Linked DNA regions of Coturnix japonica. The protein of the gene in region 4 interacts with the protein of the main gene of each other region in a biochemical or structural test. Links are inferred from orthologs where the notes say so. Each region holds a gene or a part of one and is shown on either strand. Other genes may lie near its edges. The genes, in order: FNBP4, ITK, YES1, KHDRBS1, HCK and RASA1.

Region 1 (3,231 bases), on a different chromosome or scaffold from region 4:
GCGGCCGGCTCAAACTCTGTAAGTGCCGCAAGTCGCTCTGCCTGCCCAGCACTGCTAACGGAGTCTCCGAGAGGGACGGCGCCGCGTCGTCAGGTGGTGATGGTCACAAATCATGTCTGAGATGTCAGAGATGAAAGGTGAGAAAGGTAGGAGAGGGCGTACCTGTCCCAGTGGCAGGACCAGCCTTTAGGGGTGGCGTTTATTTCGTATTGTTTTAGCTGTTCGGCTGCATCTTGGAGTTTGCGTTTGAGGTAGTTTCCATTGAGAGCACCTTCTCGCCAGTCTGCAATGCGGGTCTAGAGGGGGCAAGAACCGGGGGGAAGCCGTTGAGGGGAGGAGCTGCCGGCAGTCCCAGGGACGGGACTCAAGGTCTGGGAGAGGCTCCCTTATGGCACAGGACTCGAGGGGCTGGGAGGAGGAGCCCGCCTCTGCGCAAAGCCATGCTCGCGCCCCACCGAGGATGGGCCCTGCGGTGCTGGAGCCACGAGCTTCACGCAGCGCGCGCACAGCGGGATCCGCTTGGAGATGGAAGGCCGGAACGAGGGGCGAAGGCTCGGTTACCTCTGTCTGCAACAGCAACATGTGGAAGTTGGAGACAGATTGTCTGTTGATGCCCAGGAACTCCAGTTTACTAGTCAGAGTGTTTGCCAGCTCTCCGATCTGAAACTGCCGGGGAGAAAGGGGGGAAGAGTCAGCAGCTGCGCTTGGGCACTGTCGCCGGGCTGCCATGCCCACTCCGGAATGTCCCTGGGGTCCCACTGCAGTCCTGCGGTGAGGATGCATGCCCTGCTCCTGTGCTGGTCGCTCCCTCTGCCCAGCCCACTCCCTCCCGCAGCCTCTGCTGCTTCCTGGGGACCATTCCCTACTACTAGCTGCAGCTCCTGGCTCCAAATCAGCCAAAGGGCCTGGCGTCACAGCAGAGCAAACGCAGATCGCTACATCATCAAATACTTCAAGTGCTTCCCAAAGGAAATGGGACAGGATCCATCTTTTAGCCTTTGCAAATCACTGCTTTCCAGACAGTGCCGAGAAAGGCACCAGCTCCAGATTTACTCCTGAGCTGAGGCAGCATCTGCATTACAATCCAGCCCACGGTAAGCACAACTCAACTCCAGCACCCCACGGGAGCTCTATGAGGGGACGTGCCCCGGGGGAGCAATCTGAAGGCAAGGGGTGAGCTGGGAAGCAACAGAGAGCAGCAGAGATGCCTGCAGGGGGACATCACAATTGCTTGGAGAAGGACTCTGAAACCATTCCATTTTCTATGGTTCTGCAGAAGAGACCTTGGAAAGTTCCCAAAGCCAACAACAGGACCGGGCTGATGAGCCATGCTAGAGGAGCCCGAGGCAGGGAAACAAATTCCCGCACTGCAGTCCCTATGAAGAAGGCAGGAAGGTCTCAAATGAGGGGACGGCTCCGCAGCGCAGGATCTCCTACAAACCAGGCTGAAGAGGATGACCCCGAACCGACGAAGCGAACGGAGCAAGTTACCCAAGGAGCCGGCATTCCTCCAACAGCGCTAAAGGGATCCTGCACGTGAAATCACCACGCTACGGCACACAGTCCATCACACAGAGCACCTCCAGCACCAGAAGAAAAGGTGACAGCAAATGTGACACTTTAACAGGCTACCAGCAGCTGGCTGGGATGCAGCAGCCAATGAGAACAATCCTCGCCACAGGCTCTGTTGTGTTTTTTTTATCATAAATTAGAAACCCACAAAAGCCTTGTGCCCATCTGTGCTACACGCTGGAGGAGGTTTTGTGCACAGAACGTCACATCACACCTCAAAACCCTGCTAAGAGTTTTTTTTGACAGAGGTTAAATGTGGCACAAGGATGATAAAGCCCTTTCACGCTGTAAAAATGATTAAAATTAGGGGAAATAAGGGCAAGGTTACACGTGAGTTTTCTCAGCAGAACATTTCCTGGGGGGTTCTACTGCAAGCCAGAGACTCCTCGTCCACAAACTGTCTGGCAAAGGGAGGGATGCAACCTGCTAATGAAGCAGATCTCAGTAGCAAGCGACTGAGGAATGAAGGGGACAGGTTGCAAAGGACAAATAGGGAGATGCCCCCTGTCCTCCTGCATAGCCATCAGCAGAGCCTGAAGCTCTGTGTGCACGCATTACGGCTCAGGAATCAAAGAATCACTAAGGTTGGATAAGACCTCTGAAAGATCAAGTCCAATGTCAACCCATGCCCATGGAGCCCATTAGCCACGTCCCTCAGTGCCACAAGCCTACATTTCTTAAACACGTCCAGCAAGGGGTGCTGGGAATTGTTTGGCTGCTTAGAAAAATGGACTGAACCTCAGAAAAGAATGTACCAGAGCAATGGTGTGGGAATCACCTGTTTGCATCCAGCAGCCCATCGCTGCTTCATAAAATAAAGCTAAGCATGGAGCAGGAAGACCAGCACTAGCAGCATCTGGACACAGATTGCTTATGGACAAGGAGTCTTGGGCCTAGAAACTGATGGGGTGTGTGAGAGAGAACACTGCAAGACCATTACAGCAAGAACTTAAGGCAAAAGTCTTTGTTCTCTCTCGTGGCAAGAGTGCGAATCATTCATTCTGCCTCTATCCTCCTTTTCTCTTTTGAAAAAGCTCCTTTGAAGCCTCTGCTGCTGGCTCCTGCTGGAGACAGGGCATGAGGCTACAGAGATGCTGGCCTGATCCTGCACAGCTGCTCTGCCACAGGGTGAGCTGGCCCCACTGTCCCCTTCAGGACCCCAGGACCTGCTGCCGTCCCTGCCGCACAATGGAACACATCACACGTCTGTATAGTTCCATACCTTTAGGTCCTGCTCCTCCTCTTCTATTTTTGGTGCCACTTGTGCTTTGACTTTCTCCTGGGGCTCCTCAGACTCTGCCTCTTTGTCTGAAGGCCCATCAGCTGCTTCTGTGCTCACAGCTGCAGGAGAAAAAACAAGAGGTGAGCCTGTCAGCCACAGTGCTGTCCACACGCCTCGTATCACACTGAGGAGCCAAAGCCAGGGGCCTGTTTCCTATGAGAAAAGCCTGAAATTTAAAAGCAGAGAGGGCTGCAGCCCCTGTATGTCAGATGGTCGTTATCCTTCTAGAAAGAACACACGGGACTCAGTGAATGGCAGCTGCCACAACACAAGGATGAGGAACAGAGAGGAAATGCTGAGCGCCAGCAGCCAAGCGACCAATCGTTGAACTCCTGCAGGTTAATAGTTTGTTACAAAGAAGCATCAGGTATTAAAAG
Region 2 (3,500 bases), on a different chromosome or scaffold from region 4:
CAGCTCCTGCGGATTCTGGGCTTCATAGTCATATATGGCCATGACTAAGGTTTCCTTTGTGTTTAGCAACGATTTCTATACCAATTAGGAAAAAGGCTCATCATATTCATGTTTATAAATATCAATGGCATGCTCTCTGAAATGATATTCCCCTGACAACACTGGTGTGCTCTGTACAGCCTGCTGGGCTCAGTACCTCAAGGCGAGGAGAGCACCCCAGGAGCTTGTGAAGTTACACTGGCAACGTGGCATTTTAAGCATTATCAAGCAATGGTTTTCATACATAATTCCACATGCACAGAAAACAGTTGTCTAGTTCTTCTTTAAGGCATCGGGCAGAATCAATCCTTTCTGATCTGATTTTCACAGTTGTTTCCTAAACTACCATTAAAAGATGCCAGTGATAAAATCTCCTTGCTCTTCTTAGATGGACATAACAACCTCACAGCTCCTCACTTCTTACTGTGACTTTTTCCACCCACAAGTGGGTTTGGAAAGCTGCTTTACTAAGGACAGCATTGTATGCCTTGATGCACTCACCCAGTTATCTTCAGGAGTGGGAGGAAGAGGCTTCTTTGAGGCTGAAATGAAATCAAGAAAGCTAATTTGAATCAGATATAGACAAACCCTACAGAAATAGAACAGCAAGCCTTGGTTGTTTAGAGTAAGATGCACCAACAGCTGCACCTGCACGGGGACTCTCAGCAACATAACACGGGTTTGAAACTGATGTGCAGATTGTATAGGGAATCGCAGAAATACAAGGGGGGGAAAAGTCTTCAGTGTAAAATGATTGACTTCCCTATCTGCCAGCATTACTTTGATGTTTATACTACAGAGGAAATATGGGAAGGACAAAATAGATTGAATCTTTTACTTTTTTCTAGGAATAAATACTTTCAGGGTCAAGATTCTCTTAACGAAAACTCATACCGGTTTTGGTGGGGTCATACTCTAAACAGCCAACTGCCATCTTCTCTGTCTGAGCACAGCATCTCCACTTGCCATCTATCCAGAAATCTGGATGGTACTTTGAGACCAAACTGTTGTTGCTCCTGGTTTCTGGAAAGAGTTAGAGTAAGAGAAAAAAGGAGGAAAAAGTGGATTTGTTTGTACTGACATAATCTCTGAAAGGCACATAGAACTGAACAGAAATAATCTGCACGTAAGGACCTTATTTTCTTTTTCGAACCATTATTCTTCGTGAATATTATTAGCCTCCTCTATTTCTCTCTTCAAACTGTTAAACACCAAAACCACAGAAAGAACAATTCAAAAACAGAAAGAAAACCTGGTACACCAGGTACTGATGATTCTCATAGCAAACTGCATCTCTGCAGGATGTATAAACGTAGGACACAGACTCTGCTGCTTTGGCTCAGTGTTCAGAGGGAGATGGACCAGTTGGGATTCACCAGCTCTAAATATTTTTGCACATGTAGATGCCAGCTGTGAATCTCTGTATGAGCAATCAAAGGTCCTTCTGTTTGAAACTATTTGCCATAATAATTCTCTTGAAAAGAATAAAGAAAAAAAGGAGAAAAAAATGATCCTGGCCTGTTTCTACTTGGTCAAGTCAAATAAAATTGTTGTTGATCACTCAGATTGTCTCAACATGCTGAACTAGAGGAGGCGATAAAACAAAAACTTGGAACAGGTACACCCTCAAAGGGGAATAACTGACTGTAAGACTAAGCTTAATAATAACACAAACAGGCTCAATGTTTTCAAAGTGAACTAAACATCAGCTCACGCTACAAAGGAGGAGAAAGCTATGAGGGAATAAGGGTGCAATTTTCATGTAACTAAACAACCTTTTCCTTCTGCACCCAGCGGTTAGTTATTGTACCTTCACTTCAGAATCATTGTAATGAACCACAGAACAATTCAAGAAGCGAACAGGAAATGAAAGCTACCCACAGAAATGTTTCTTAATAATCATGATTCTCTCAGAAGGTTGTCATCTAAACAAAGTAGCTATTAATCAGTGATGAGAAATCTTCTACCCAGAAAATATTAAGTGTTATATGCCGAAGTTTTCTAAAGCTTTTGAAAACACACCCACAACATCTGCAAATGTATTTGACTCCATAGCTGCGTTCTCAGTGACCACTTTGCTTGGTTAGATGTAAGAAAACAACTTCTCTTGTATGTTTTCTTGGCATTTTAGCTGTGGAGAAAAATGACCTGGGATAAGAAACTTCAACAATTAAGTAGGCTTAGGGGTTCTGTTACCTTCCTTCAGTGTAAAGACCCATCTCTGCCGGCTCTCACGATTGGGTGCGAACACGTAGAGGATGTAGTTATCATGGACAATCTGTAGATGGGAATAAAGATGGGAACCAGCCATTAGAAACAATCCTGGGTGTACTGGGCATGGTGGAACCATGGAAAGAAACAGGCAGTAACCCCCATATCAAGTACGTAAATCCCTGAAAAACAATGCTGTGTACAAGTGGAGTATATAGCGCCTGTTCAGAGGTATCCCATAACCTCAGTGCCTTTTACTTATCTAAAACTGAGTACAAAACTCAATCAAGAAAGAATTTTAGATGAGCAATTTTATTTTAAATCAATTTTTTGTTGAAATGACAGTTAAACCAATGGAAACATTACAACTTCAGTCTGCACAGAAGCCAGCCCACTGCATGCTGGCTATAGCCTGTTCTTCTGAAGCACCTACGAGAAAATTACTTAAGTTTCTCAGCTCTTTCTCTTAAATCACCTTCACTTAAAATATAAGAGCCAAATTTATCTTTTCTGGTCAATATGAATTCCAAGCAATGCCCCCGGGATTCACTGTACTACTATCACTCTAGAGTTTTTGATAGCTTTCACTAGGGTTATGGTGGGGAAATAAGAAACTAGAGCAGATGAGCAATGAGCATTCAGGATGCTGGTTTCATAAACGTGCCCTTAGTGATGAACAAATGACAGAAGAGAAATACAGAACATTCGTGAAGTTTCAGACTCAGGAGTGAAATCATCACAGGAACAAAAATGACTCAGAAACTTAATCAGATGACTACGTTTGGGCCTAAAATGTGATGTAACACATAATCTATGTTTCTTTTCCAATATTTATCCAAGAATTTATACCCAAATGAGACCCGATCTCTTTGATGCACAATCACTTTGAAAAAGCTTCAACCAATATCTTTAAACAGAGTTTTCTGTTTAAAGACAGCATCTGTTTTTTTCAGAGCTTAAAGCAGTGTAGATGAGGCAACGTTAATAACCGTTCAAATGATAGGAAGCATTTGCTATCTCTTGGCCTGATGCCCCTGCAGGCACACACAGACAGCTATGTGATTCAGTTGCTTTGTAGGCTATAGAGAGATAAATCATAACCTCTGTTTAAGAAAAAAAAAAAAAAAAAGGGGGGCAATAATTCCCACTCATTTTAAGACATTCTTGTGTCATTGTTTGTCAACATTTGTTCCTTCTCCCATCCATGCTTAACCAGGAAAGCTGCATTGTAATGTGGGAAGGGAAGAAAG
Region 3 (4,297 bases), on a different chromosome or scaffold from region 4:
CTTTGAGGTCTTTTCCAACCTGGGTAATTCTATGATTCTCTGATTCTAAGAACAAAACCACAATAAATACAGAGAATGAGCTATCTTCTCACAGCCCAAGGTTGGTCCTCCAGGTCAAAAATTAAGCCCTATTTTTTAGTTTCAGAAGCCACATTTCTCTCTCAGCACTGAGTCTATTCTGTCAACTAATAGAGGACTTCGGTGCTAGAAGCACAACACCTTTCAGAAGTGCTTCTCAGAAGCCTGACTATGCATGGAAGGTGTCCCGTTCACAGAAGGTTGTTAAATATGACACAGCACAATAAGTTCTGGAAGTATTATTTGTGCTAATACTGACATCAGTTTTAAAATTAACATAAAGGTAGCTTACTCAAACTGTGTTCAAAGAAGGAAGGAAAACAGCTTGATCCGCATAGCGGATAAAGATGAAAGAATGTGTTTCTTTTAACTAAAGGTCTGAACATGAGGAATTATCTGCTGAAAACATATCGCTTTTGTCCATGGGCGGAGCACACAGGAAAGTAAAACTGTGCAGCTCACATGTTCCTAAAGCAAACTTTGGCCACATGAACCAACACGGATGTGCACATCCCTGTCATGTGACAACAGGCATTTATCAGCGAACACAGCAGCAAAGATTAAGTATGATTTTATGATATTTCTCTATTTCAAACAAACTGGCAATCCCGATACACTTCTAATATCATTCCATTGTTTCATTTACTACCTAACAGTTCCCTGGATACATTAGAAACAAATCAATCAATCAAAAACCCTCTTCATATTATGAAATACAGATCAAAGCTAATCTAGGGCTCACTTTCATTCCAAATAGCAATACCAAGGTCCAAAAATTAAGAGTTTTTAATAACTGCACAAGTAGCCCTGAGAGCAGGCAAAACCAGGGAAGTCTGATTTCCTGCATCGGTTTCCAGCTTAAGAGAAATGATTATGTGAACTCTGTGGCGTGCGGGTTAAAAGCTCTTTCCTACCTACCTTCCTTAATTCCAATAGAATTCCATAGAAATATTCCAACCTGGGAGACCTCTGCTGCCAAATGTGTTTGAGATTGGCTGACAGCTGGAAGACTTACATACAAGAGGGAGCGACAGGCACGCAGATGTTGTGGTTGCACTTGAGCTGCTCTTCCTGAGGAAATAAAGCTAACAAAACCTGTGGAATAAAATAATCATAGGGAAGCAATGCTACCAACCATAGCCACAGTCTCACGTTCAGTATCGTGTTTTTTTGTCCTCTGAAATCCAGCACAGACCCTCTCAGCACTGCTCCCTCTGTTCATCACACAACGGGTACCTTATTCTGAGATTAACCCTCAAGCCCCGGCTGTACAGAGCACCCAGATCCATGCGCATGTTCAGTAGGAACATCCTAGAGCTAAATTCACAAACATGCATTGGAAAAACAGGCGCGAGTGTGAGGCTTTCCTGCTCGACCTACTATAGGGAACCTGCTTTAGCAGGGGGTTGGGCCCAATGATTTTCAGAGGTCCCTTCCAACCCTATGATTCTGTATTCTGTTTTGTCAGCTGGAAAGGAACAATTCTTACTCTTCTATCAAATCTGCAGTAACACTGAATTATGGCAATGTTGTACTTCACACACTGCAAACGTAACTGACAACACAACTTAATGGTAAACCCCTCTTCCCAGTTATACCTTTCAAAAATGAAAGAGAAGGCTCCAAAGTAAACTTTTGTATCTCATTTCCTTGACTAAAGGTCAACTTTGCTTGCAAAACTTGCCTGAAATTTCATTCAGTTGTCTATGAACTATGAAGAGAAATACAACACACTTCCCTTGGCTACACGCTCTATGTTCTAAACCACTTGGGGACCATCCTGCCCATTTTGGTACATTCAAATATCTGTTTGTAACTAATGCTACCCTCTGTCTTGGCTTAAATGCAGCAGGTAGGCCTGGAGAAACCTCCTCAGCCTCTGAGAGGATCAGATACATTTACACCCCAGTTATTCCCGATACAAAGTGGCACATACGTGCCACATCAGACGTCTGGAAGGTCCCATCTTGAAACACATGCAATAAACCAACGTACTTAATGCCATGTAAGAGAGAGGGGAAAAAAATAATGCGCCAGCCGTTCTCCTGCACATAACTTCACACGGAGAAAGAAAGTAGCACTACAGGAATGGGACTTTCCTTCCCTCCCCTCCCCACCTAAACCGCCAGGAACACGAGGGGGATTGACGAAGTGTTATGATGGCATATTTAAATTAATGACTCAGAAATTTAAAGCAGTCGCCTTGCTGCTAGGTGGAGCGATACAGAGCCGAGAACCGAGCGAAAAAAACAGCACATAACGACACACATACGGCCGAGCGAGAGCCGAAGGGGGAACGCGTTTCCTGCGCTGTTCCAGCAGCGCCCGGAGCCGGAGCGGCCATGGCCGAGCCCCCCGCGGGGAGAGGCCGGGGGCGGGCAGAAAGTTGCCGAGAAACTTTGTGCGAAGGGACCGAGGTCCCCTCCCCGGGGTGGGGGCGAAGCGGGCGGCCCCGCGGGGAGAGGCCGAGGGCGGGCGCGGGCGGCCGGGGCCTAGCGCTCAGCCGGGCGCCGCCGCCGCCGCCGCCATCGCGGCCGCCTCTCCCGCGGGGCGGGGGGGGGACGGGGCCGCGGCCGGGTGCTCACCTGCCCGTCCTCGCCGGCGCGGGTGGGAGAAGGAGGGGGAGAGGAAAGGAAGCGGGGCCCCCCCCGCTCCTCCCGGAGCCGCGGCGACCCGGGGAGGGAAGGGGGGGAGGAGGGGAAGGGAGGAGGGAAAAGGAGCAGGAGGAGGGAGCCGGGCGCTCCGGTGCGTGCGAGGAGCCGGAGCCTGGCGGCGGGAGGAGGAGACTCCCCGCCCCTACGGCCGGGCTCTCCGGCGGGCACCTCCGGCCCCTCCTCCACCGCTCCCCGCCTCTCTCCGCTGCCCGCGGGCGCCCGGGTGAGGCTTGGCGAAGCTCCCCGCCCGATCAGAGGCCGCGGGGAGGAGCCGGGCGGACCCCTCCTCGGCGGCGCCGCGCACCGAGACAACATGGTGGCGGCCGCGAGATGAGGGGCAGCTCCACATCGGGGCGGCCTTCGGGCTGCCTTCCCCCTGCTTGACGCCGTTCAGGTGTGTGGCTTCAGCTCTAAGCTCTTCTGCCTGCCGTGGGAAAGGCGTGGAGAAATTATAACCACGCAGGCTTGGTGTGTGTTATAGGTTTGAGTCAGACAGGGACATCCCGCTGGTCTCAGTGGCAGAGGTCAGCGTCGGGTGTTTGAAAAAGGAAAGTTGGGTTTGTGTCACGATGGACTTCAAGATAAAGGCTCTTCAAGTGTCTTCTGAGGCCATCTTTCAGAAGTCAGGCCAGTTAATCAAAATATCCAGGCTGAATCACCTGGCCTTGGGCATCTGAGGTTGCATAGTAGGAAATTTTTCTGCTCCGAAACAGTGGTGAGGCATTGGAACAGGCTGTCCAGGGAGGTGGTGGAGTCACTGTGCCTGGAGATGGTTGAGAAATGTGTAAAGGTGGCATTGAGTGACATGGTTAGTGGGCATGGTGGGGATGGGGTCACGGTTAGATGTTCTTAGTGTTCTGTTCTAGCCTTAATGATACTGAGTGACTACAGGAAGGACTGAGAGAAAAACACCCCGAGGAACCCAGATTATTAAAGTTTACACAGTCAGATTGGTGGCTGTCATTCAGGATTAGCTTAGTTTTCAGCTCATTAATAGCTAGATTTATGTCTCTTGCACCTTTATTTGGTGTGAAGGCTGACTGATAATTGTATTGGTCCATAATGAGAATCTAATACAATGTACACTTACTCTTTAAAACAATCAAGCAGGAGGTTCCATTTCTAGGCAATGATGGAGAGTAAAACCATTTGTCTTTTAGCTGAAGTCAAATACAAGTATTTGCTTTTACAAGACCATAAATACACTAGGCAGTTAACAGTTTTATATATAAAAAATAATATAAAATAATAACACAAAAGTGTTTCAGGTTGTGATGCTCCTTACCATAAATAATACTCATGTAACCCTGTTAGAGTGGTGGAGTTTATCATTTTCCTGTCCTGTTAGGAGCCTAAATCACATTATTGCGGAATTGATTTTTAATTTAGAAATCAACAACGAGTCTTACAAATTGCTCTGGGTGATGAATTATTTAACCAAGGAGCAGTCAGAGCTCTAGGTCTGGTCACTGCTTCCCAGCACAGTCAGGGCTTGCAGCAGTTCTCCAAGCTTATATGGCTGACCTCCACTATTGCTTGTGTTTTCCTTTCCTGTACATGGGCAA
Region 4 (3,500 bases):
CCCCTACTGCCTGAGGTGTTCTTCACAGTGGAAGCGAAGTCTGATATCTCACTCATGCTCTAATTCTGCTCTTGGATATCTGTGTTATTCAGCTGGTTTTAAGAAGCTATAAATAAACTGGAGTGCAAAAACTTCTCAGGCTGCTGAAGTAAAAGCAGGAGGAAGTTACAGCCCCACTGACTGATTGTTAGCTCAATTTTAGGAGCAAGCAAATAAAAAAATAATCCATTTTTTTTCCTGCCCTGAAAGCCTCCTGGCTCTTTGTGATTCACTGAAGATCACCAGCAATGCACTGCTGGTAAACCATGAGAATTTACAGACCTCAGAGGGGACTGCTGGAAATGGGAAATGGTGGGTTTTTTCTGAAGGGGAAACTTATTACTTCAGCAAATGACATTTCAACAAGTAGGTAGAATTGGTTCTTACTTTAAAGACCTTGTTTATCACCTTCCATATAAGCTATCTGTACACCCGAGGTACAGTACATCAAAAGATGACGGGTTTCTGCAAGTATTGCTTATGGAGAAAGCATCCATCACACTGCTCTCTCAATTGAGAATGCTCCCAACAAGCACAGACCAATTTCACAAAGGTGAATTCCTACCGCCTTCGCTTTTCAATTCTGGTTTATAAAACGCTTTGGGAACATCTGCTTTTCACATCAGAATGAAAGGCATTAATGTATACTATGGTTTCAAAGGGTGGACATTACCTTTGCCTTATCTCGCATCGAACCCTTCCCGAGCACAGAGATCTTAGCACCAGTTTCTTCCTGAAGCCTCTTGATGGTGTTACCTTGAGGTCCCAAAATCTTTCCAACAAAGTTGAACTGTAAACAAAGAAGAAATATTTAGCTCCAAAACTCAATAACCTCAACGAGAGCTTCTCTCAATGTTAACCTGGATTACAAATTCAGTCACACCGAAAATAATTAGGCCAAAAACACAAAGGAAAATTTAAATTCCAAATTAAAATGCTCCCCCAGAAAATCAAACTAAATGAACTCACGGAAAACGAGCTTAATTCTAACTTCTATTCTAGCAGATTTACAGGCAGTCTTAAGAGTTAAACGTGGCCTTAACTGTAAAACACAGAGCTCTGCATGAGAGTCTATTCTTGTAAAGAAACATCACAACTGTGCATCACCATTTAGTTTATCCCTAGACATTCTGGAAACGTAAGACATGGAATATATTAGAAATAAGATCCTGCAAGCTTGCACAGGAAAAATTCCACAGTGATAGCGGCACACTGGCATAACTCCTGCTGCCACACTGACAGCCACTATCTCTAACATTCAGCCATAAAATCCATAGAAAACAAGCAAATCACAGAGATTCCATAAGCTGTTTTCTGGCCCTCACCTTGGGGTACTGTTTGACAGGTATCAGAACTCGTTCTTTCAGTTTCATATTCTTGTGAGAAAATAAATCCAGGTAGTTCTCTTCCTCATCCTTCTTTGTTGTTTCACCCTTCTGAATTTTTTCAATTTCTAAACAAGATAAAAATAGGGCTGCTTATATTCCTCAAACAAGCATCATTTTAGCGTTGGAATTGTACCAGGACGTACCACCCTCATCCTCTGTTAACACAGGAACATTGATCAGATTCATTTGTATGAATGGGATCTGGACAGACAGGACAGCCTATGTGCTGGCCCAGCTCACCTCTCCTTCCCTTCACACCTAAGGATTCCAGAAGGCCAAATGCAGGACAATGAATGATACCAGAGCAGCAGGGAATGCCCTACGATAACCTCATCGCTCAAGGGAGGAAAGTTAAGCAGCTGTGTGCATCCCTTGTGCTGTGCCTCCTGCTGTCCATCCCCATGCTCTTGCCCCCATGTGAGTGCAGCTCCCACGGCAGAGCCCTGACCCACACAGCACCCAGCCCAACCACATGGACTGAGTTCCTCTGCTTCAGTGCAGCATTGATCAGCAAAACAGGCAAATCTTTGGTAATTTTTTAAAGCTGATGCACCATTTTGAATCTGTCACAGAGCGGCATCAGCCAACACTGTGAATCCCAGTTATTTGACAGCATTCTTAATAACCAGAAGTCTCAGTCAGTGACAGCCCGGAGTTCAGACTGGATTCTGGAGCTGACAGTCCTCCCTCCAGGAATGCACCTTCATCACCAGCAATTCACAGCTTGAAGCAGGGAGCCCTGGGCACATGAGCCATCGAGATGCCCCAGCTTGATTCAACCAACATAACCACAAATGCTGACTGTCAAAGTAAGAGCCCCCCCTCCAAATGGATGCTGAGTGAGGACCCTTCCTTAAAGCTGAAGCACATCATTTCACCAGCAAACCCAGGAGCTATAAATATCAATTCTGATTCCAAAAGTGCTTCAAATACGATTCCCCACATCTCAGCGGGGAGGGAGCCACTTTCACAAGATCACACACAATTGGATCAGAGCTGCAGGGCAGCCTGCTCAGTTACCAGCATCTGCAGAGGGCAGCCGCGCTATCTCACCTGTCCTGCAATTTCTGCCCATGCTTTGCATTAAACGTTCATGTTTCCAGCTTTCAAAGGCTGGGTACCATCAGATGTTGGGCACACTGTCCACCCAGTGACGGTCTCAGACCCCAAACCCAGTCAGGCACAGCGGGTTATGGCTGTACAGCCTGAATGGAGGCACCTGGCACCTTCCAGCAGCCCCAAGGATGGGGGCTTCATACACACATATTCAGAGATCTAAGCACATAATTGAGTTATTACATTGCACAATCATAAAAAAAGCCTAATTTCTCCTTGGATCACTCCTAAGTGTGTCACCATGGCTCCTCAGTAAAAAAACAATACAGACGGATACAATCAGCTTTGAGGAAGATGGGTTGATTTTTGCTCTGCAAAGAAATGATCTCCTGAGGACAGAATAGAAATGCAGCTGGAGCTCTGTCAAGTCTGTAAAACAGAGCGAGGAGATGCCTGGGTCAGCTTCACACGCAGCCTTTTCATTGCAGCTGTAAGAACACATCAGAGAACCGGGATGTGGAACAAGCAGAGCACACTGCTGGGCTCAGCGCTGGGTAAGCACAGCTTTAAATCCTGCAGTACAGTGGGATCCTCTCTGCAATACTTTGGCTCTCCAAAAGCAGTGAGAATGTTTGTAAGAGTATTCTGCATATTAACAAAAAGGACTTTCTACACACATAATAATGAAAGCGCCCTTAGGCTGCCTTGCCAGAACAACGTGATCAGACTTCAGCCTCTGAAAAGCAAAGAATCGCACCCACAACACACAGCAAAACCTGATGCAACAGCAGCAACGCCTGGGAATGAGGCTGGGGGAGCAGCAAACAGTTAAAGCTGTGCTCAAAGCCTCAGCTCCAGCATCACCGATTCTGCAAGTGAAACCCAAAACCAGAGAGAAGAAAAAACCCTGACCCAAAAAGCAACCCGCAGAGCGCTCCGGCTTTCAATGTGGGTCAGTGCAGGTGGCCTCACGGTCTCCTTCACAGCACAGAAGGAACCCCCAAAGCTTTAAACAGG
Region 5 (4,245 bases), on a different chromosome or scaffold from region 4:
CACCACCCCCAGCCCTGACCCATCCCTGTTTCCCCCCAGCTGCGCAACAAGTTGTCACCCCAGGAGATCCAGCAGTTTGCCCTGATGCTCCGTGAGTACCGGCTGGGCACACCAGTGCAGGAGTACTGTGCAGAGCTCCTACGCCTCTATGGGGACCGGAGGAAATTCCTCCTGCTGGGTGAGTGCCCCAAGGGTCGGAGTGGCTCTGACCAATGGGTCTGTCACTGTGCTACACCATCCATGTGTCCTTGGGGATGGGATGAGGGTGTGCACTGAGGGGTTGGTGGGACTCCATTGCACACAGATGGGGTTGGTGCAGTCACGCCATGAAACCTCATGGCATCTGTCGCAGGGATGAGGCCCTTCATCCCCGATCAAGACATTGGGTACTTTGAGACCTTCCTGGAGAGCATCGGTATCCGCGAGGGCGGCATCCTCACCGACAGCTTCGGCCGCATCAAGCGCAGCATGAGCAACACGTCGGCCTCAGCTGTGCGCAGCTACGACAGCTGGTCCCTGCGCTCTGAGTCCGAGTCCTTCAACCGCATGATCACCAACATCACACACGACATCGAGGCACTGGCACGGGATGAGGAAGAGGAGGAGGAGGAGGAGGACAACTACCTGTGAGGGAGGCACAGGTCACCATGGAAGGGACCAGGGCTCTGCTCTTGGCTGGGCTGATGGCATTTCAGGGCTGTGTTGGATCAGAGCAGCCCCCCACCAGCAGTGCTGAGTGCTGTAATTTTTGTAGCTTGCAATTAAATGTGTAAGATGGGGGTTGAAGCAGGTTCTTCCCCCATGCAAAGGGCATGTGTTGGGCAGGGGGTGAGCTGTGGCACAGGGGCAGTTCACGGATGGGATACCCACCCACCCACCCCAGTGCTGTGCCAAGCAGGCATGGGATGGGGTTCTCAGTGCAAAGTGGGGTCAGCACAGCTGTGCTGGGATGGGGGGGGCCTGGATGCACTGCAGTGATGCACCTGCCTTCCTACAGGATGGGGAGTGGTGGGGATGGCTGATCCTGGGCTGAGCAGCCCCAAGCAGGGGGCAGCACCTGTGCAGGCTGTGAGGGCTGCCCACAGCGAGTTATTTCCCTAAAAATGATGTATGTAAATCCTTATGCAAGTGAGGCACTCGGGTTTTCTCTTTACTCCTCCTGGGGGCACAGAACTGGGTGGTGACAGTGCTCTGGCCTCATCCTTCATCCCGTCCGTGCTGCACTCATCCTGCAGTGGGTGAGGGATGGCTGTACGGCTACCGGGACCGGGATGGGACAGGGAGTGTCGTACCGGGGGGGGCGGGGCCGCAACCATACCGGGTGGGGCGGGGCCACACCGGGACGGGGTGCAGAATCCACCGAGCTCAATGCGGTGGCAGCAGCAGTGGATTTGGCTTTGTGACAGGGACGGGGACCAGGACCCGTGACAGCAGCCAAGGTGAGAGAAGAGCCCTGAGGGCAGCGGGGTCAGGTGGGAATCAGAGCCCCTGGTAAAGGGCTGCCCTACACTGTCCCTGCCTGAGACAGCAGTGCCGCTGCAGAGCTGCCCTGTGCTGGGTCTGGCCCCTGTCCTGTCCCTGCTAGGTGTGGTGGCATCAGGATGGGGACCAAAGCCTGGGGATGGCAGGAGGGCAATGCCATTGAAGTTGATCCTGGGGTGCTGGGAGGGAGGAGGTGGTGATGTGGTGTCCCATCCTGTCCCCACGCTTGGACTCTGACACAAGAGCTGCAGAACATGTGGTGTGCCAGGGGATACTCATTGCTACCAGGTCACTGCATGGAACAGTGCCCCAAGACTTGGGGAGCTGGTGACTGTGAGGTGCTCAGCTACATCTGCTCTGTGCTGGAGAGCACAGTGGGCAAAGGTTCTGGAGTGAGGGTGGCACAGCTGGGAGGTGGCAGCAATGGTTTCTCGAAGGCTGTGGGACCGGGGTGGTGCTGTGCATGTCCCCCACAGGACCGCAGCCCTTTGCTTCCTCCTTTGCTGCACCCTTCTCCTTTCCCCATCAGACAGAGGGAAGTGCCTTTTGGGGGCTTCCCTGTACAATTGCTGCAGTTCTTACTGACCTTCCTTTGGGGGAGAGTCTGACTTTTGCTTTTATGGAGCCTGATCTGTTGGTGTGAACAGGGCTGTGGGCACCTGACTGTGCTGGAGTGGGAGCTGTGGGTGTGGGGCTTTTGGTGCTGTTGCAACGGCCCCACTTCTCCCCCCCTGACACACACACACAGGATGGGTTGCGTTAAGTCAAAGGAAGATAGCGTCCAAGAGAAGATGCAGTTAGGCCATGAAAAGAAGGACCCCACGTCTGGCAGCAAGCAAGTAAGTAGGAGATACGGTGTCCTGGGGGGCACAGGGGGCATGGAGCAACCTGGGTGGCAGCAGACACAGGGCTGGGGTGGGCAATGAGGTGAGAGTGAAGGGTCTGTCCCAGCCCACATTGATGAGAATAAAGGAATGTGGGCAGTCAGGGAGAAATGAAGGTGTTGAGGAAGGAGACGCTGCCAGTGCAAGGTGAGCTGGAGCTGGACAAGTGTCCAAGACCCCCCCAGGTCCCACTGTGTACCACCATGACACTCCCCTGTTTGTCATTCCATTTGCAGCATGATGAACACAGAGTGCCTGAGCCCCCACCGGCGGATGGTGCGTACACACAATGATGGGGAGGGGAGCACAGTGGGGTCCTCATTGGGAACAAACCCAATGGGGTGGGGGCTCTGTGCTTCCTGGTGGCAGAGACCCAGGGACCCTGGCAAGCACCCAGGAGCCAATCTTACTGCAGGCTCAGGTGACACCGTGGTGCTGGCACTATATGACTACGAGGCGATGCACTCTGGGGACCTGAGCTTCCAGAAAGGAGAGCGGCTGCAGGTCCTGGAGCAGTACGTGTCCCCTGCCCCACCTGTCCCTATGGCTCATGGTGCTGGCAGTGCCCTGTGCTGACCCATGGCCATCTGTGTCCTCAGGTCGGGAGAGTGGTGGCGGGCACGGTCACTGGTGACAGGGCTTAAGGGCTTCATCCCCAGCAACTTCGTCGCCCGAGCTAACTCACTGGAGGCAGAAGAGTGAGCATCCCACACACTCCCATTGCAGTCATCTCCAGTCATACCCCATGTTCCCATCAGGCCAGGATTAATGTCCTCAGCCCCAGCCTGTGCCAGCCTTGGCTTCCTGGCTCCTAGCAGCAGTTGTTGCTTGCTCTGTTCCTGCTGCAGGTGGTTCTTCAAGGATATCAGCCGGAAGGATGCAGAGCGGCAGCTGCTCGGCCCTGGGAACACATTGGGATCTTTCATGATTCGGGACAGTGAGACAACCAAAGGTACCAAGGGCTGAGGCGGCCCCAGAAGGGCCTCCCTTCTGTACACCTGAGAGAGACTCAATGCACCCTGAGGGCTTTGCTTTGCTGCCAGGCAGGGGCTGGGGCCCATCCTCCTGCTGCTGTAAGAGCATCCCTGTAAGAGCCCATGATGCTGCCCTGAGCCCCATGAGGAGATGGGATGTGCCCCCATGGGGCTGCCATTGCTGCCTGGGTCTGTGCTGGGGCCAGGCAGGGTTGATGCCATGCTGGTGGCTCAACCAGGAGCTGAGGGGATGCTGTCCCATGACACAGCTCGTCCATCCCTGAACAGGTTGCTATTCCTTATCTGTGCGGGATGGGGACAGCCTGCAGGGAGGCAGCATCAAGCACTACAGGATCCGGACACTGGATAGTGGTGGCTTCTACATCTCCTCACGCAGCAGCTTCGACACCCTGCAGGAGCTGGTGGAGCACTACAAGGGTGAGCTCTGGTACATTGCTCCTATTGAGACTGTGGCCACTCGGTGTCTCCCCCACCGTTACTGGCAAGGGTGTTGGTGGCAACAGATACTCATAGGGCCTGGGAAATGCCTGTCCCCATGCTTGTGCCCTGGCTGTGCTGTGCTGCACGGCAATGCTCAGCTGTGCTATGCTGCAGTAATGGTTATCTACACAAACTGATGCCCTACAGCCACAGAGCATGGAGCCTGGCTGACTGCGCTTGCTGCTCTCTGGCAGGGCAGAGCGATGGGCTGTGCCAGAGGCTCACCTACCCCTGCAGTGTGCCCAAACCACAGAAACCCTGGGAAAAAGATGCCTGGGAGATTCCTCGGGAGTCATTGAAGCTGGAGAAGAAGCTGGGAGCTGGGCAGTTTGGAGAAGTGTGGATGGGTGAGAGTGAGGGTGGTGAAGAAGGAAGGGTGAGGGATGGGAGAGGTGGTGGAAGGA
Region 6 (4,242 bases), on a different chromosome or scaffold from region 4:
GAAAGTCTTAAAAAAGAGGAAATGCAAGTGACCCGGGGCAGATGACTTTGCTGGCAAAGTAGAAAGAAGCAGCGTGTCAGGGGCAGGGGTGAAACAACTCGGCCAGTCTCACAAGAAATTACCTTTCTGTGGAACCCTTGCCACACTTAGAACTGCTCTACCCAGATTAAATCTATTGGAGGAGTGCTGCAGGAAATTCAGAGCACAGATGCCCTGGTCTCCATGCTTATATGCGCATGCTGTTGCCCCTTTAAGTCAGTTAAAAAAGCGTGTTTCGTCGAAGCAATCATAAATATTTACACTGCAGCTCTATGTTTAGGAATATCATTTTAACAACAAGACTGTGCTGAAATCCTTTTATTTAAAAACCCGTAGGAGAAAGCAAACAGCATTAAACAGAAGCCCACGGAGCCAGTGGGCTGCAAGACAACGTGGAATTACATATCCGATTGAAATATGGCAACGTGGAAACCAAGCCCGTAAGAGATGGCTGTTGAGACTGTAATTTCTTTACCAGCACAGCAGGGCATGAACGCGCTGCCATTCTGTGAGCCCAGGGACGCAGACAGCGTCTGCTCTGACACCGGGCACGAGCCCAGCAGAGTCCCACGGGTACTCGCAGCGCTGCAGGACCTGGAATGGGATCCTGCCTTCAGAAGGCAAGATAGGAAGGTTCGTTTCGGCAGATAAAAGGAGGTTTGTCTGCAGGGCGGTGGAAGCGCGAGTAGGAGTTTGTTTTAGTGGCCTGGGGAGAAATTCACTTAATTCTTTTGGTAACACAAGGCTTTGAAAACCTGAATGTTTAGATGCCTCCTGAGAACTTTGGAGAGGCGTGCAAGTGTCAACGTGCTGCTATTTGTCAGCTCTTTTATTATGGGGGGGGAGGGAAAAAAAGAAGAAGAAGAAAAAAAGAAGATAATGAGAGAAGTATCAGCACGGTAACGGAGTAACCGGCAATGGAGTACGGGCGGCAGTGCGGTCACACAGCGGCTGCAGGCGATGCGCTGTTCTCCTCCCGCAGCACACGGCGGTGCAGCTATAACGGGGACACACAAAGCACGGGCTCAGCACGCCCCGATCGCGCCGTCCCTTCCCGCCGTGCCCCCGCGCCACCTGCCGCCTCTCCTGGCTTTTACTCCCCATACTTTCTTCTATTTTCCCTCCCAAAGGCAGCTCAGCCTCAGGGCGCACCATGGCCGCCCCTTGGCCGCACACCATGGCGGCTCGGGCCGCTCCTACCCCGCACTTTCCTCCCCCACGCGGTGCGGCCGCTCCCCCTCCTGCCCCGCCCAGCTCCACGCACGCGCTCATAGGGACGAGGCTGGGGAGCGGCGCACATGCGCGGCCCGTCCCACCGCCTCCGTCCTTCCCCCCTCCCGGCTGGCGGGCGCACGGGGGCGGGCACAGCGCGGGGCGGCCGAGCCGCTCCCCTGGCGGCCGGCGGGGCCGAGGCAGCCGCGCCGGGGCCCTGCGGAGCCGCCGTGAGCGCGCAGCCCCCGCCCAGCCGGGTATTGTTCGCGGCCCGTCTCCGCCGGGACAGTTTTGCCCTCGTCCCGGCTCCGCTCCCCGCCGGGGCGGGGTGGGCCGGGGCCCCTTTGTCGCCACCTCCCCGGCGTGCGGCGGCGGCGGCGGCTGCGGGCGGGAGGGCGAGCGGCGGACGGGAGGGGGGGCGAGGCTCAACATGATGGCGGCCGAGGCCGGAGCTGAGGACGGCGGTTCGGTTACCTCGGCCGGGACGGCGGCCGCCGCCGAGCCGGGGCACTGCCGAGGCAAAGCACCGGGGCCGCAGGGCCCCTTCGCGCCCGGCTCCAGCTCCGGCTCCGGCGGGGACAGCCCGGGCGCCGGCCCGGCTCTGTGCTCGGCGCTCGGGCTGCTGGCGCTCGGCTCCACGGGAGCCCCGCCACCGCCCAGCGAGCCGGGCTCCGCCGCCTTCCCCCCGCTGCCGCCGCCGCCGCCGCCCCTACCCCCGGCCGGAGGGCTGGCGGCCGTGGACGAGGGCGACTCGCTGGACGGGCCGGAGTACGAGGAGGAGGAGGTGGCCATCCCGCTGAACGCGCCCCCCACCAACCAGTAAGTACCGCGGCCCCCCACCCCCCTCGGTTCCGCTCCCGGAGCGCAGGAAGAGCGCGGCTCCGCGCAGCGCCGCGTGTCCGTGCGGCGGGGGGAGGCCCGGGCGGCTCCCGGACAGACTGGGACTGCGGCGCTAACTTTGTAACAGGCGGAGACCTCCCCGCTGTACAAAGCGCTGCTCTCCTCGTGTCATCCCTTTGCATTCCGTTGTTTATACCTTAAAAAAAAGCAACAAGAACAGCACAAAGAACACCCCAGCCTTTTTGTTATTTCATACAGGAATATCACGAAGGTTGCACGCACGTGTTTGCCTTCGTGGAGTAGGGAGGGTGAGGTTTGCTCACTCTGGAACGCGGGTTGGAAATGAGTAGAATTCTTCTTCTACTTTAAAATAGTGGGCGGGCTGTGCTTACAGAATAGCGCCTGACTTTGCTGCTCAGCCAGTTTAAAGCGAGGCTGATGTTGGTTTGTCTGTATGGAGGCAGGAGGCAGAGGTGAAAATCCTGCAAACCTCCTGTTGGATTTCATTCTGTTATCTCTGTTTTAAGGTGAATGGATGTCCTGTGGTGCTGGTAACAGAATTTCGCACTCTGAGCAGAGCAGTTCTCAATTTATATTGTGTGAAAAATGTAGGATCAGATAATGCTGTGTGTAGTTTGTGTAATTAATGAGCACTCCATGCACAACCTTTGGGCTGAAGCATAGGAAGTCTGCAGGTTTGTGTGTAGCACCTCAAGCCCCGTTTCAGTACAGAAAACAGTTCTCTGGGAGGGTGCCTGGCTATTTAAAAAATGGAGTTGCTTCAGAAGCTCTATTGGTTGCACCAAGTAGTGTCTAGAAATGTGTTGTTCCTGAAGTTTCCTGAGGATAGTAGATAATGTAAGGTTTCAAGGTACTGAAACAGTTGGGCTAGATGTTCATAGCGGGCTTTTCCAACCTTAAGGAGTCTGATTGTGTGAAACCATGAGGGTTGGTAGATAGTTTCAAGGCGTGGATCAGAAGGACGACCTGAAAGCCCATCTGAGTTTGGGTTCTTTGTTACATTCTTTCCCAGTACCACTCTTAAGAGACTTCTGCACCATTCGTGTATTTCCATGATTTCAGGAATCATTAAAGTCATCAGGAGGACATAAAAATGTACCGATATGAATCCCTTTTAAATTCATGTCTCTCGCTTTGACAGTCTTCCCTGTAATCTCCTGATTTCTTGACTTTCTGTAGAAGTTTGCTAACTTAAGGCAGTGTTTGAACAGTGTTTGACTGGCGTCACTAATGAGCTGGAAATATGATCAGGCAGTTCTGACAAAGGATCAGGAGGGAAATAGAGGCACACGAATGTGAAATTACTTCTTCAGGGTTGTCAAATCACTGGAGCACACAATTCTGTACTTCTGGTTTTCTCTCTGAAAATAGATCAGACTGCTTTTTCCATTAGATCCAGTTATGTTAGTCAGAGAGAGAGAGTCCTTTTTGGAAGTATCTTTAGGAAATGGGGTGACAGATTGTAAATGACCACCTGTTCGGTCCTAAATATGCAATATGGACATATGCTAATAGGAGTGGGATTTGCTGTCAGAGCATTGTCCTGTGACTGAAGTGCTGGAGTGATGTCTGTCTTTAAGTGCTTTGACAAGTGTGTGCTGAGGGGAAGGCTGTGCAGGCCCTAATTTGCTCTGGTTAACAGTACCTTATTCAGACAAAAGGGAGACAGGAGTCTTTGCAGAACCAGGGCATAACTGTGAGCTGAGCTTTCTTCATAAAAGAGAATCCTTCACAACAAATCAAGTATTGTGGAAAATGTACACGTACCTCCCTACTCTGTGTTCTTAACAGCTTTTCCTTTGCCACATAACCCTCGGAGTGTGACTTTTCAATAAAAAATTGATTGAATAGAACCGTGTTTCTCTCTCATTCAGCTCCTTTATGGTGTCAGTTTTCATCGTTCTTATTTAAGTCATTCAGATTGGCCATATGCTGATAGTAAATCGCATCCTCTCAGTCCTGCTGTTTTATTTTGGAAGGGCCCTTTCTTTGTAGATGTACCATCTGCTTCTATGGAATTAAACTCCTGATTTATTATCAAAACAAAGATCAATATTATCTATAATCTTATACAGGGAAAGGTTTGCTATAATTCTTTAGGAATAATGATTGAATTTATAGTTAAGATTA

What was found.
Region 1: the proteins of KHDRBS1 (region 4) and FNBP4 form a complex in vitro, tested with the Homo sapiens proteins (2 studies listed by BioGRID and IntAct, with this or other methods). The link is inferred for Coturnix japonica from reciprocal best matches to the Homo sapiens genes KHDRBS1 and FNBP4.
Region 2: the proteins of KHDRBS1 (region 4) and ITK form a complex in vitro, tested with the Homo sapiens proteins (4 studies listed by BioGRID, with this or other methods). The link is inferred for Coturnix japonica from reciprocal best matches to the Homo sapiens genes KHDRBS1 and ITK.
Region 3: of the proteins of KHDRBS1 (region 4) and YES1, one has a biochemical effect on the other in vitro, tested with the Homo sapiens proteins (2 studies listed by BioGRID, with this or other methods). The link is inferred for Coturnix japonica from reciprocal best matches to the Homo sapiens genes KHDRBS1 and YES1.
Region 5: the proteins of KHDRBS1 (region 4) and HCK interact in a biophysical measurement, tested with the Homo sapiens proteins (2 studies listed by BioGRID and IntAct, with this or other methods). The link is inferred for Coturnix japonica from reciprocal best matches to the Homo sapiens genes KHDRBS1 and HCK.
Region 6: the proteins of KHDRBS1 (region 4) and RASA1 form a complex in vitro, tested with the Homo sapiens proteins (2 studies listed by BioGRID). The link is inferred for Coturnix japonica from reciprocal best matches to the Homo sapiens genes KHDRBS1 and RASA1.

What each region holds. Positions count from the first base shown.
Region 1 is NC_029520.1:547,142-550,372, reverse strand, and holds part of FNBP4 (formin-binding protein 4), read right to left. Parts: intron 2,914-3,231; coding exon 2,795-2,913; intron 667-2,794; coding exon 562-666; intron 297-561; coding exon 163-296; intron 1-162.
Region 2 is NC_029528.1:13,136,375-13,139,874, forward strand, and holds part of ITK (tyrosine-protein kinase ITK/TSK), read right to left. Parts: intron 2,318-3,500; coding exon 2,236-2,317; intron 1,063-2,235; coding exon 934-1,062; intron 582-933; coding exon 541-581; intron 76-540; coding exon 1-75. UniProt on the Homo sapiens protein: Tyrosine kinase that plays an essential role in regulation of the adaptive immune response. Regulates the development, function and differentiation of conventional T-cells and nonconventional NKT-cells.
Region 3 is NC_029517.1:91,945,449-91,949,745, reverse strand, and holds the start of YES1 (tyrosine-protein kinase Yes), read right to left. Parts: upstream 2,801-4,297; 5' UTR 2,664-2,800; intron 1-2,663. UniProt on the Homo sapiens protein: Non-receptor protein tyrosine kinase that is involved in the regulation of cell growth and survival, apoptosis, cell-cell adhesion, cytoskeleton remodeling, and differentiation.
Region 4 is NC_029538.1:4,470,434-4,473,933, reverse strand, and holds part of KHDRBS1 (KH domain-containing, RNA-binding, signal transduction-associated protein 1), read right to left. Parts: intron 1,493-3,500; coding exon 1,365-1,492; intron 830-1,364; coding exon 713-829; intron 1-712. UniProt on the Homo sapiens protein: Recruited and tyrosine phosphorylated by several receptor systems, for example the T-cell, leptin and insulin receptors. Once phosphorylated, functions as an adapter protein in signal transduction cascades by binding to SH2 and SH3 domain-containing proteins.
Region 5 is NC_029535.1:8,940,970-8,945,214, reverse strand, and holds the start of HCK (tyrosine-protein kinase HCK), read left to right. Parts: upstream 1-1,445; 5' UTR 1,446-2,231; coding exon of another isoform or gene 2,232-2,321; 5' UTR 2,322-2,476; coding exon 2,477-2,642; intron 2,643-2,781; coding exon 2,782-2,881; intron 2,882-2,965; coding exon 2,966-3,064; intron 3,065-3,214; coding exon 3,215-3,318; intron 3,319-3,628; coding exon 3,629-3,778; intron 3,779-4,035; coding exon 4,036-4,188; intron 4,189-4,245. Other genes in the region: CCM2L (cerebral cavernous malformations 2 protein-like), read left to right, coding at 40-178, 353-630. UniProt on the Homo sapiens protein: Non-receptor tyrosine-protein kinase found in hematopoietic cells that transmits signals from cell surface receptors and plays an important role in the regulation of innate immune responses, including neutrophil, monocyte, macrophage and mast cell functions, phagocytosis, cell survival and proliferation, cell adhesion and migration.
Region 6 is NC_029547.1:54,365,730-54,369,971, reverse strand, and holds the start of RASA1 (ras GTPase-activating protein 1), read left to right. Parts: upstream 1-1,442; 5' UTR 1,443-1,681; coding exon 1,682-2,070; intron 2,071-4,242. UniProt on the Homo sapiens protein: Inhibitory regulator of the Ras-cyclic AMP pathway. Stimulates the GTPase of normal but not oncogenic Ras p21; this stimulation may be further increased in the presence of NCK1.